Linked DNA regions of Drosophila melanogaster. The gene in region 2 interacts genetically with the main gene of each other region. Each region holds a gene or a part of one and is shown on either strand. Other genes may lie near its edges. The genes, in order: Pak and dbo.

What was found.
Region 1: of dbo (region 2) and Pak, changing one suppresses a phenotype caused by changing the other (phenotypic suppression), as found in Drosophila melanogaster (one study listed by BioGRID).

The regions. Positions count from the first base shown.
Region 1 is NT_033777.3:6,349,344-6,354,194, reverse strand, and holds the start of Pak (p21-activated kinase), read right to left. Parts: upstream 3,300-4,851; 5' UTR 2,844-3,299; intron 1,073-2,843; exon of another isoform or gene 656-1,072; intron 108-655; exon of another isoform or gene 1-107. Other genes in the region: Hr83 (hormone receptor 83), read right to left, coding at 3,683-3,894, 4,328-4,851.
Region 2 is NT_037436.4:15,825,377-15,832,803, reverse strand, and holds dbo (diablo), read right to left. Parts: upstream 5,917-7,427; 5' UTR 5,708-5,916; intron 4,859-5,707; 5' UTR 4,802-4,858; coding exon 4,753-4,801; intron 4,486-4,752; coding exon 3,767-4,485; intron 3,619-3,766; coding exon 2,927-3,618; intron 2,789-2,926; coding exon 2,599-2,788; intron 2,534-2,598; coding exon 2,312-2,533; 3' UTR 2,226-2,311; coding exon of another isoform or gene 2,201-2,225; 3' UTR 800-2,200; downstream 1-799. Other genes in the region: CG12713 (uncharacterized protein), read right to left, coding at 17-276; DCP2 (decapping protein 2), read left to right, coding at 7,225-7,333. UniProt on the Drosophila melanogaster protein: Probable substrate-specific adapter of an E3 ubiquitin-protein ligase complex which mediates the ubiquitination and subsequent proteasomal degradation of target proteins. May have a role in synapse differentiation and growth.

The DNA.
Region 1 (4,851 bases), on a different chromosome or scaffold from region 2:
TTATAAATTTATCAATATAGGCCGTCCGGCGAACTAATTCGGACTGTGGGCCCGCTGCTCAGTTGTTCCGTCAGCGTGTCTCCCACCTTCGAGTGTCACTGCCACTAGAGCAGGCTGCAAAAGGCAACAAACAACATACATCGCTCCAAGAGATTGTCTCGAGCACCCCAGCTCGCGAGAGTGCCTCCCCTACATTGCTTAAAAGCTGATTGATATGGGTATTCGAATTTTGTATACTCTCCGAAGCTAATTTTATAAATTAGTTGAGACTATACATTTCAATTCAGCAATTATTGCGCATCTATGTGAGGAACTTAAAATATTATCCTATTTAAGTTAAGTGTGCATTGATCATAATTGTATACCCACATCTATTCACTTTTAGTTCATTTATTTTAAATATTCATTGGAGCACCTATAGAGCATATGGAGTTAAAAAATATGACCCAAAATGGAATAATCATTAAAGGACTATATTTTAATTTCAGTTTCCATTAGACGCAAACCACTGTTCTCACACAACACACTTTAAGGGTATCCTCTCTACCTCAGTTGCTCCGCTCTCGCCCACGTAAACGATCGAGAGCCATAAAAAATTCGTTGCGATAACAAGAGTGGCTTCGATTGCACTCATAATAAAAACAAAGCAGCTCACGCATTGGGAATTACAGCAACACAAATGAGGAAATTAAGCAGCGAGGACAGCAACAACATAAACACACTCGAGTGGGCGGCATCGCAGCCAAACATATGAGCGAGAGGGCGAAAAGGAGTGGGAGCGCAGAGTGGCGAGGAGAGCAAGGCGGCTTTGGCGCCTGTCTGCTTTGCCGGCGACGTCGACTGCGCTGCTTTTATGATTCATTTATCATCGTCAGGCGTCAAGAGTCAATGCAGCTAACGGGAGGCGGAGAGTCTGGGACGAGGGGGTGGCGAAGTGTGAAAACGTTGGACAAACATTAACATACAGTTCCAACAGCTGTGGTCAACTTAATAGCATAGCGGGGATCTAATAAGATATCAACTCCAACTTTTGAATCATCAGAAAAAAGGGTTCTTAGTGACCAATATATGTACATATATGTGTACATAAGTATATAAGAGAATCATAGGATAAAATACCCAAATCATTATGTGTCATGCGGTTCATTCCGACATTACCTTTCTACCCCAATTTATCAAGTGCAATGTTTTCTTGCTAATTGTTTTTAAATTCACCGATGTAAGTAGATTGTTTACTCAATAGATACGCTCGTTGATTTCAATTACATATGTATGTATGTCGATACATACTGAATTTAAGATAAAAAGTAAAGGAGTATCGACAAATAGAAAGTAGTAAACTTGCTGTGTGATATATTCTTGACCGCAACTGTATATCTGTACTATAGGCTTTATGGGCATACGTTGGTTTACTGGCTGCTTGCCCAGAGATCTATAAACGTATATATGTATGTACATATAATATGCATGCAAACATACACACATAGGTGAAAATTCGTTTTTAAATCAAGCAAGAACAAACTTTTCGGGAGCGTGTGGGCGCCCAGAACTGGGTTAACGATGTACCGCATTGTGTTTGATTTCATTGACGGTCGAACTTTAGGTAAAATCGATAAAAAATGTTTTTCTTTCTGCAGGGGCCCATGCAAAATTATTCCCTAATGAGAAAAACACACATTGTAGGCACAGGAAACTCGACAACACTTGCGGCATTTAAATTAGCGACAGGGGTTGTCAAACGCAGGGGAGCGGAAGGGAGGAGGGTAGGACATTCAAAGTGACGCAGGCCTAGGTGCATGTTGCAACAACAGCGACGCAAACGTGGCGCTCGCTCCAAGAGCTGAAAGAAGCCACAAACATATGCATACTTCTTCGCCACGTTTACGCGGAGCCAAAGTTTGTGATCAAGCTTCTTGATTACTTTGACGACTGCTTTATGTTAACTTTCTATTAAAACTAAACTTAAGAATTTATTCATGGAATTCATTTTACGCAATTTTTCCGAGGATTGCTGTATAAATATGAAGCCAAAACATGACGAAGATCACCTTCTGCTGTCCGAAGACTTTAAGTAAGTTATCTTAGTATCAATATACAAAATGTAAGCATTAAAAATGATACGATGATTATGGTCGGTGCATATTTAGCGAGTTGCCACGCATAACTGCTGGCGACGGAGACTCTCAGCCGCTCCGACGTTGTCTATTTTGGTTGCGGACGCCAGCCGAAAGCAGCAGGCGGAAATGTTATGCCTTTTATATTCCTCTTTTCAGTTCCCTACCGCGACCGCTTCCGCGCGTCCCTGTCCCTTCCGCTTTTACCTGTGACCGTGCTAAGCAAATATGTTTTTCGTTGAACGAAGGAAGGGGGTGGTGCACTGGCGCACTGGACATGTGCCGTTAGAGCGGTAACTGTTAAATGCCAAATCGACTGCGAAATGTTGTTAGTTATTAGAGCTTTATGTAAATGTCTTGTATCGTGTCACGTGTGTTAATAGCGGGGGAAGGGGCATTGGGGCATTCCAGCTTGTTGACATTTGGTTGCTTTATTTTTGGGCTGGAAATTCGGGAGCAGCAATGTGCTAATCCAAAATAATGTGGCGTGGAAACCACTTGAAACGTTTTCCTTTAATCCACATACACGCACACACACACACGTGAGTTGGAAAAATCAATGTGTGCAACCTCTCCTTAGGCGGTGTGTGTGTGCTTGTCTGTGCATTGGAAGCCAGACCAATTGGACTAACGGTGCACTCTCTTTTTATGAATGAAACTCCCTCGCCCCGCTCTCCACAAGACCATTCTACCCGCTCCACTCGGCCACCACTCTCCACTTGAACTCACTGCAAGTACAATATGCCTTGGCTGCCTTTCTTTTGCACGGTGCACCCTGTACGCCGCTTGCAGTCGAAGAAGAAACGCTTGCGATTCACGGATTCGCGTGGACACCACTTCTCCACTGGCTTCTTGGAGTTTTCCGAGCCCACAACACTTGGCCGCACTCGCACACACTCCAAACCGCACACACACTGTATTGTTTTCCAGTTTTCTCTGGTGTGTGTCATAAATGGCCGACGGACGAGAGGCACCAGCAGCAGTTAAAGCGCAGCAATCTTATGGCGCTCCGCAAACTTTCTCGCTTTCTAGCTTCTTTAGCAACGCGCGCGCATTTTCGGTCCTTGCATCACCCACTAATTGGTTTACATTATTCAGGGGTTTGTTAACTACGAAAAATAATTACAGAAAGACGACAAGACGGCCGCAGCAGACAATGTAGCGATGGCAAAAATATATCAATATATCGATAGCGAACAGAAACGAATATATTCGCTCCGTGACTTTTCACAACATATCGATGAGTTTTTTGTATTGTGATTGGCGACCTTTGAAAAAGTGTTTTTCAAAAAATACCACATCAAATTTTGAGTTCATAATAATCTCTTTGTTCCAAATATTTTTATTTCCAACAAATTGCATAGTGCCAATAAAGTTTGGGGCGTGTCTAAATGCCTCCATGAACGATTGTTGACAGAAATGAATGCATTTTTAGATATGGGTTGAAACTTCAGATAGCGAAGTTACTTTAGATGTTTGAACTGGCGAACAGAAAAACAGCCATTATCTAGTACCCTCTTTAAGACTAGGTTTTTCTTTAATTTTGAAAGATGAAGATAGATATGAGCCTAAAGTGTTTTTAAGATGTCCCTGACCACGCTGCGAAACATACAAGAAAGCGCGCAGTCGAAGCGCCTCAGGCACAGCTGCCTCAGACCAAGGAGCAGTTGTCCGAACCGCAGGTAGTTGGATTGCTGCAGGGTGTAGCGGGCTAAGGAGATCAGGGCGGCTTTAGAGTGGCTTCCCAGGATAACGGCATACTCCGCATTGATGGCCAATTCTGTAAAAACATGCAATCGATATAAGCAATTAAAAGTATTAAAATGGGATATACTAATGGTGGTTTGACTTCCTATTAAACTCTTAATTAAATTAAAACGATGTAAAAGGTCTTAAATCTGTCTCTAATCTTGAATCTAATCAAATTTTATGGTTGGTTCAAACAAACCAACTGCACATGCTGGAAAATTTTCTTTTGAATTTATTAAGCCCAAAACGGAAACGTTTTTTCTGGGGTTAAGAAAACTGCTTGGGTGTACTCTTTCATGCAGAATCAAATAGCAAAATCTATACATAGCGTACATAGGATTTAAATTTTCGTCTAAGAAATCACGTCAATATGTGTAAAAACATTGAAAATTGGTTAGATGGCTTCAAACCGCTTTTATTTTTAAATCCTAACAAGCCTTTTTACCGCACAGGCGGAGCTTTACCTTTTCTGCACAGGATTAGGGACTCCATAAAGTTGAGTTCCAGGACGTCGGCCCTTAGCTGGTGGGCCTCGCAAATGAGCCGTTTGAGCTGCTCATCGCCGCAGCCGTCGATCATGGCGCTGATGTCCAGAGACCAGTGGGACGCTCGCAGGACGAAGATCTCGCTCCACACCACCTGAAAGATGGCGTCTTGTTGGCAGCGATCCAACAGAGCGAACTGCTCGTTGGCCTTCGCCTGGCGCAGGCACGTGACAAGGATCTGGGCGAGGATCTGGAAGTGCAGCGCCTGGGAGTGGGGCGTCGGGGATGGCGCCGCCTGAGATGGCGGAGCTTGTCTCCGGCCAGTGCGGTAGAGAGCCACCTGCTGGTTGCGCGGACCGCGCTCCTCCTGAACCGCAGCAGCGTTCATTCCCACGGCCAGGCATCGCTGGAAGCGGCAGGAGGGACACCAGTTCCGCCGCGCCTTGTCCACCACACAGTTCCCGACCAGAGCGATGCAGGCGTAGCTGCTCCCGCGCCGCACG
Region 2 (7,427 bases):
GAGATTGTGGCCTTACGCTTTGAGAAGCCTTTTCCCGCGCTGATCCTGCTTCCAGTGACCACGCGACCGGTTAAAAAGCTCCGACTGCAGGATGCATGTCAATGCCATTGGCTCCACGTCCCTGAAGAAGCGATTCCTCAACTCGAACTCGCAGTCGATGGCCAAGCCGTGGAAGCCGTTGATAAACCGGCAAATCTTATTGTATTCGCCGCCGCTCAGAATCTTTCGCTTCTGTTGCCCATTTCCGCCGGCCAAATCCGGAATTTGGGACATCATTTCCGGCCAGAAATACAAAACTATTTCAGCGAACGTATGAAAGAGCGCCAGAATAAACAGCTGTTTAACGTACGCTAATCGAATACACATTTTAATTTATCGATAGCTGACGTGCCTGAAGTTTCTCCACGTCGCGAAGCGTTCACACTGGTCGGCAGTGTATATCGAAATGTTCCGAATGCATTTAGTTCAATTATTTTCATAAAATTGTTATCATAATATTGACTTCTTGAAAAATGTTTAAAATAACAAAATGTGTGTAGTGCCACCAAATCAGTGTGTGCGAATTAAGGCCTAAAACAAAAACAATCGGGTTCGAGCATCGGCTATCGGTAAAGGATCCAATATCGTAACTATTGTACCGATGCGTACCAGTACCGCGTAACGGTACATTGATTGCATTACAAATTTATAAATTATAGAATATAATACAAAATAGTACACTTGGATATTTATTTTTAATTATTTTTTGGCAGCAATTTCCGCCCTTGGCTGTAATGTATTGAATGAAACAAAGTGTCTTAATTTTGATATATTTTTATTTTTATATATTCTTATACATAGCACGGGTTTACGATCATTTCTTAGGTTAACACTTCTATTATTTGCGTTAAGCACTTTTACCACTCAACACAACTAGGAAATGTTATTTTTTAACTACGCATAATGGGTGGTATGCGAATTTTTGTATAATTGTTGACCATTTTGACTTAAAGCTATAATATAAATAAGCTTGGTTTTTTATAAATGCTATTCTTATTCATCATTTGGAAGCAAAGATCATTCCTTTTTGCTCGATTTAACAACAGTTTATAAATGTGCACCTAAAATAAACTAAATGAGATACGAAAGCGTGTAATAAATAATAATTTTGAATAAATAATTGTTTAATAGTGTTGGTGTAAAAGGCAACAAAGAAAATGTGTTGTTATTGAGAGTCTACTTGTGTTTTAACTCCCTTATCTAAGCGATTAATTCGAGTTGGTTCATTCAGCTCGATGGTCAAACTTGGTTTAACAATAAGTCATCTTAAAACTTGACCTGATTCCGGCCGAAAACTCTTACCGGTTTACACGATCTAGGATTAACAATATTAAAATTTATTACCTTAAAGTTGATCTTACGGCTGCGTAATTGTTAATTGTTACTATTGAATTATCTTGGGCTAGGTCTAACTTCTTCATTGTGTGTGTGTGTGATTACCTTAATGGTTTTTTTTTAAGCTTGACAGGCTGAATATTCATTATTTTTTTAAATTCTTTGCAATTATTCGGTTCACTTCATATAGTCGTGGTATTATTGAAGACGTTTGCAAAGATTTAAAGTGTACTTGACTAAACAACAGCGTTTAGTTGGTCGATCGAAATATTGCACCATTGTGATGTTTAATTTCGGACAAACTTTCTTGAATTCACTCCTTAAATCTAAATTATTTTAATACCAATTTGTTACTTGACTTTAGAGCTCTTCGTTTAAGGATTTACAACTAATCGAATTCGTTTCTAGGTTAATATTTGATTTTGTTTTGTTTTTTTCGAAAGAAGGCATGGTTATGAGCTAGCGATTTCCATGAAATACCACCGGCAACATTTAGATATTAAGTTATTTATAAAATATACTTGCTTAACATACAGTAGAATCATATATAATTACGCACAGGAGTGATGGGGATGTGTTATTGCAGGTGAACGTGGGAACAATGCTAACTCTAATACTATTCCGGAAAAGTCTAACAAACATGCGCTTTAGGCTCTACCAAATAAACAATTAACAATTAATACAAAGCGATTACACTGCTAGTAGACAATGGGGCGAAAAGATGTTTTGTTTAGTCGATTAGATTTGGCTTCGATTGCGGATATTGTTAGTAGAAGTGCGGCGGCGGCAACGTTTGCGAGGGCAACGTTGTCGGCTGCTGTTCCCATCAGACAACAGAATCTTTCCGTATCCTGAATTTGTTAGCATGTTTTCGGGGGGAAAAGAGAGACAAGACAACATTTCATCAGCAATGGAAGGGATGGGAGTTGAGTTAGTTTCAGGAATTCGGTTGCTTAAAACTATTTTCGCACCACATATAGTTCTCAGTCTGAGGGGCACGCATAACGCCCACGCCGCCGCCCAGTCGGCGGTAGTTCATGCAGCCGCACAAACGCCATTGGTTCGTCTCTGGGTCGTAGACCTCGATGGTTTTCAAATAGGCGGAACCATCAAAGCCGCCCACAGCATACAGCTGTCCATTGACGACGGCCAGGCCAACCTAAAATGGTGCGATTTCATTTAATACAATACTATTCGCCGAGAAAAAGTGTAACAAAAACTCACCCCACTGCGGCGGGAGGTCATGGCCACGATGGGGCTCCAGGTATTGGTCAGTGGATTGTAGCGCTCGGCGGACGAGAGCTCCATGCAATCGTCTCGCCCGCCGACGGCGTAAATGTAGTTATTGAACACAGCACAGCCCAGGTGCTTGCGTCGCGTTGACATCGGGCTGACTGCTACCCATTTGTTGTGTCTGTAATGATAAAATCGGGGCAATGTAAATCAAACAAATACTACGTTCAAGTGCAATGTACATTAAGGTCATTTGTTACAAGCGATAGAAAATGTACTTGTACGTCTAAAGCTTTTAAATGCTTTATTTATGATTTACCTGGGATCATATCGCTCTACGGTGTTCAACGGGCACTGTCCATCGGAGCCGCCAATTGCGTAGAGAAATCCTCCAAGCACGGCTACCGCCACTCCCAGTCGCCTTGTTGTCATCGGTGCCACTTTCGACCATTTGTTCTCTTTTGGATCGTAGCGCTCCACGTGGTTCAAACATTGAACGCCATCCTGGCCACCCACCGCGTACAAGAAGCCGTCGAGCACAGCCACGCCGACGCTGGTGCGGCAGGAAGTGGTGGGCGCAACGTCGCAGGACCATTGATTCGTTTGTGGATCATAACGCTCGATGCTATTCAGATAGCTCTGGCCATCGTGACCGCCCACGGCGTAAAGTAGATCATTTAACACGGCCACGCCAACTCCGCAGCGTCGTTTGCTCATGGGAGCGACCATTTTCCAGTCGTTGGTCTGAGGATCGAAACGCTCCACGGAGGCAATAGCATCGCCGGAACACCAACCGCCCACGGCGAACAGGACTTCGCCTCGTCGAGTTGGCTTTCGCGGTCTGGTGCGTGGACCCTGCATCAGCGGTCGCTCCTGCGGAAGCAACAGATAGTTCTTAGCCTCATCCACCAAATCCCGGCAGGCCTCGTCGCTGCGCACCAGGAGATCAGAGCCCACCGTGCCAACCAGGAACTTTGGCGACAGCAGAGGCAGACGGACGTGTTGGAGCACCTGAGAATATTCGAAAATATCAATTCATTATTTATTTATTAGTTGCAATACTTAAAAATTGAGCTGTTTATATTATTCCAAAGTAATTATCAAACGGAACAAGTAGGAATCGGTGAGTAGTAATCAGATATGGTTTACAGTAGCTCACCTGTGCCAGATGTTGTCGCCGCTCGGCGACATTGTACTTGAGCCAGGACATGACCGCGTTGAAGACCTGCTCCTCGGAGCGCACGTTTAGCTCGTCGCTGCAAATGATGTCCACCAGCTGGCCGACGGGGAGCAGCAGAAACTCCTCGCTCTCCATCACCTCCTGGAAGTTGTGCTGCGTGAATTTGTCGGCGATCCGTAGAAGTTCCCGGCAGGAGTGTGTGTCGGCAAAGGCGCGTATGCCCAGGCAGTTGGTGGGATCCAATTGCCGTTTGAGGAACTCGCAGCAGATGTCCTGAATCTCAACCAGTTGAAGCAGGCAGGCGGCGGGAAGGAGGGTCTGGACATTCGACTCCTCGACGATTATGTGGGCGGTGTAACAAAAGTCGATGAGCAGCTCCATGGCATTCTCATCGATGTCGCGTATGGTGACCTCAGTCTGGCGCGATTCCTCCAATTCGCCAGTGAACATGGCACAGAAGTAGGAGCTGCAGGCGGACAGGATTACCCGGTGGGCAAAGATCTTCCGTCCGCCCACGTTGAGCACCACATCGCAGAGCTCCCGATGGCGCCGTAGCATATTTAGTTCAGTGAGCGTGACCTTCGGATGTTTCTCGGACGTGTGAGAGAGGCGGGCGGGCGACGGAGGTCGGTCCACTGCCGTAGATCCAACGGAGGAGCCGCCACCAGCCGTGGAATTACCACCGGTACCGGTGACAGCTGTTGGCATACATAATGATTTTGAGTATAAAAATACCATATGTTTGGAATAGTACAAATAAACTTAATGGTACCGATTAATTGGAATTGTGAATGAGAGTTCAAATACTTTTTTATGAAGGAAAAACCTTTTCTAATAGTATTTTTTAGCTGAAAGATCATAGTCTTACGAACAAATATGAAGTATTTAAAGTCACATGAGGCACACAGGTTGCCCCTGGCTTGCTCTCTTCCCAATTCCAAACCAAGCTCCTATCAAATCCTTACCAGCATCCCGTGGTTGAGCGGTGGAGCCCGAGCCCGGCAGGTCGCCCATTCTGTTCGCTGCTAAGCGCAGCGGGCCGGAAGCAACCCAACCCCACACGGCGTCTATCTGTGGGCAGAAATGGTAGTATATAGTAGAATAGTGATTAATGGTCAAGTCAAAGTAAATTAAATCAATGCGTAGGTAGGGCGTAGAAGGGCGGCATTGAACTCGATTATAAGTAAGTAAGTAACTAATCAATTTACAAGGACATTGTGCTTCGTTTAATATCTTCTTGAAGCGACTGTTTACTTAATAAATTAAGTAATTGTACATTTTTGATGCAAATAATTCATATTCTGGGCACTGGATGTGGAAATTCTGATTTATTTTTCTTGTCCTCCGCCCTTTTGCACCACCCACACACAGACATGCTGTGTAACACGCACACATTCACAACTTCGGATCTGCGGATACTAAGGTGGACCTTTCGACTAAAGAAACATCTTAACACTAATACGAGTGTTATTTAAGGTATTCATTCAACACGTTAAGTTTAACAATCCACCATTCGTATAAATGATATAAAATAAATATTAATAATCCTTAAATATTTAGAAACTTTAAGCTAAAAGATCGTTACTTGAAACTTCTGTTTTGAATCTTAAAATAGCTAAGTTTTAAAATTAAAACATGTACTTTAATTGGTAAACAAATTGGCAGGTTGAGTTAATCGATGGTTAAGATAAACAGTTCTCTAGTTCAATAATATGCTTGTGGAATTATCTTCAACCTAATTTAATTAAAACTGAAATCTCTTTTATTCATGTGATATATGTTCAATCGCTTTTACAACATTCACTCCATGGAACACCTTAAAACTGAAAGGTAACCTGGTCCACCCACAAGCACACACCACACACACACACACGCGGATGATGTTGGTTTAGATTTCGATGTATATGTTGGTGTCCCAACCTTTGCGTCTCTGTTCTCTACGGATACAAAGCACGTCCAGGGCCAGCTGCAGGCGGAAAATTTCGAAAATGCAATCTTGATGGCTTAAAAGGACCACATCGAAGATTTTCCTTGCGCGAATTGCACTTTTCAGTACGGAAAAATCGTTTTTTGGTTGGCCTGGAAAAGTCGAAACACGAAACGATTGGTATGGCGATAGAGATGTGAGAAATGCATAACAATATCAGTGTATCGATATTTTTGAGAATACACTTATTTATATTGTGATACTTTGGTGGACATTTCGTTATATCGATATTGTTATTAAATCGTAAACGTAAGCTAATTTTAAGGAGATCTGTTTGAAATATCTCTTCACATTTTTTTTCGAAATTAAAATAAGAGATCACATATTTTTAAATAATTAAAAATAAAATAAACACTATTTGTATACAACTACAAGTAAGTGCAACGGAAGGGAATCTAACTGTGAATTATTGAAATCATTATAATAATCTCTTAAAATTTTCATTAGTAAACTGTCTTTTAATATTCCCGAAAAAATAAGCAAATAACGTAAGACAGGCTTTGTAAGAGTACATTTATCACAGAGCCAACTGTATTTGGCTTCCCTGGTCGCTAAAGAAACGGTATATTTTGGTATCTTAGTGAGCAGCATGCTGGTATTTTTTATTTCATACTATTTCTATACGCGACGCTGAAGAGGAAGGCGAGTTTTGAGCAGTTGAAAAGCCCGTTAAATAGTGCAAAATAGTAGCTAATTTTAAGTGCAACGTGTAAATAAAGGCAATTTAGATCGCGAAAAAGTTCGGTGAGCAAATAATAATTTGAGATTGGAAAGTGGAAAGTACGTGAACTGGGCGAGAAAAGAAAACGGAAAAACGTGAGACTGTGTGCGTGCGAAGAATTTTCCGTCTCCCTCGCACCAAAGTGGAGCGCACTCAATTATTTTGTGGATGGAGTGGAACACAAACAACAAAAACGACAACGACTATAGCAATAACAAAAACGACGACACAGCAACAAAAACAGCAATAGCAACAACAGAATTAAATGCAAATGCAAAACATGTTGAGGGAAAGAGAGCGAAAATCGAGAGAACAATAGCAAAAGGATGTAATGCAACCGATGGAATAACTAGAGTACAAGTACAAAAATTGCATTGGAAATTTAAATTCGTGCGACAAAAGCGGACGATTGCAGAAATTTTCGAAACTTGGCAGCCATATTTACTACAAAAGCAACGCCGTTGTAAAAATACGTGACAAAACGCTTACACACACATACTCACATTCGTACACCCACACACAGTTGCGCTCTCTCACACACATACACACAGTTGCGCTCTCTCACACATAAACACACAAGCGTATCGAAAGACTGGTGCAGACAGAGAGAGACGCGAATGTGAATTAACAAACAAACAAAAATATTTTGCGAAAAAGACAAACACAAAAAGTAAAGCCAATAAAGTGTATTACATAAACAAACGGAGCTCCGATATCTAAATAAATATTATGGAAATCGCACCACTGATCAATAACGCCGTCGCTGTCGTCACAGCCTCTGCCTCTGCCGCCGTCTCTGCCTCTGCTAGCGTCGGCAGTAGCAGCAAGGATGATAACGGTAGGCGGGTCTCTAGATGATAAGCGGTACACTTCCAGTGGGTTCATAATAAACTATAAAAATAATAAAATATATGTAAATACAAAGCATAAAG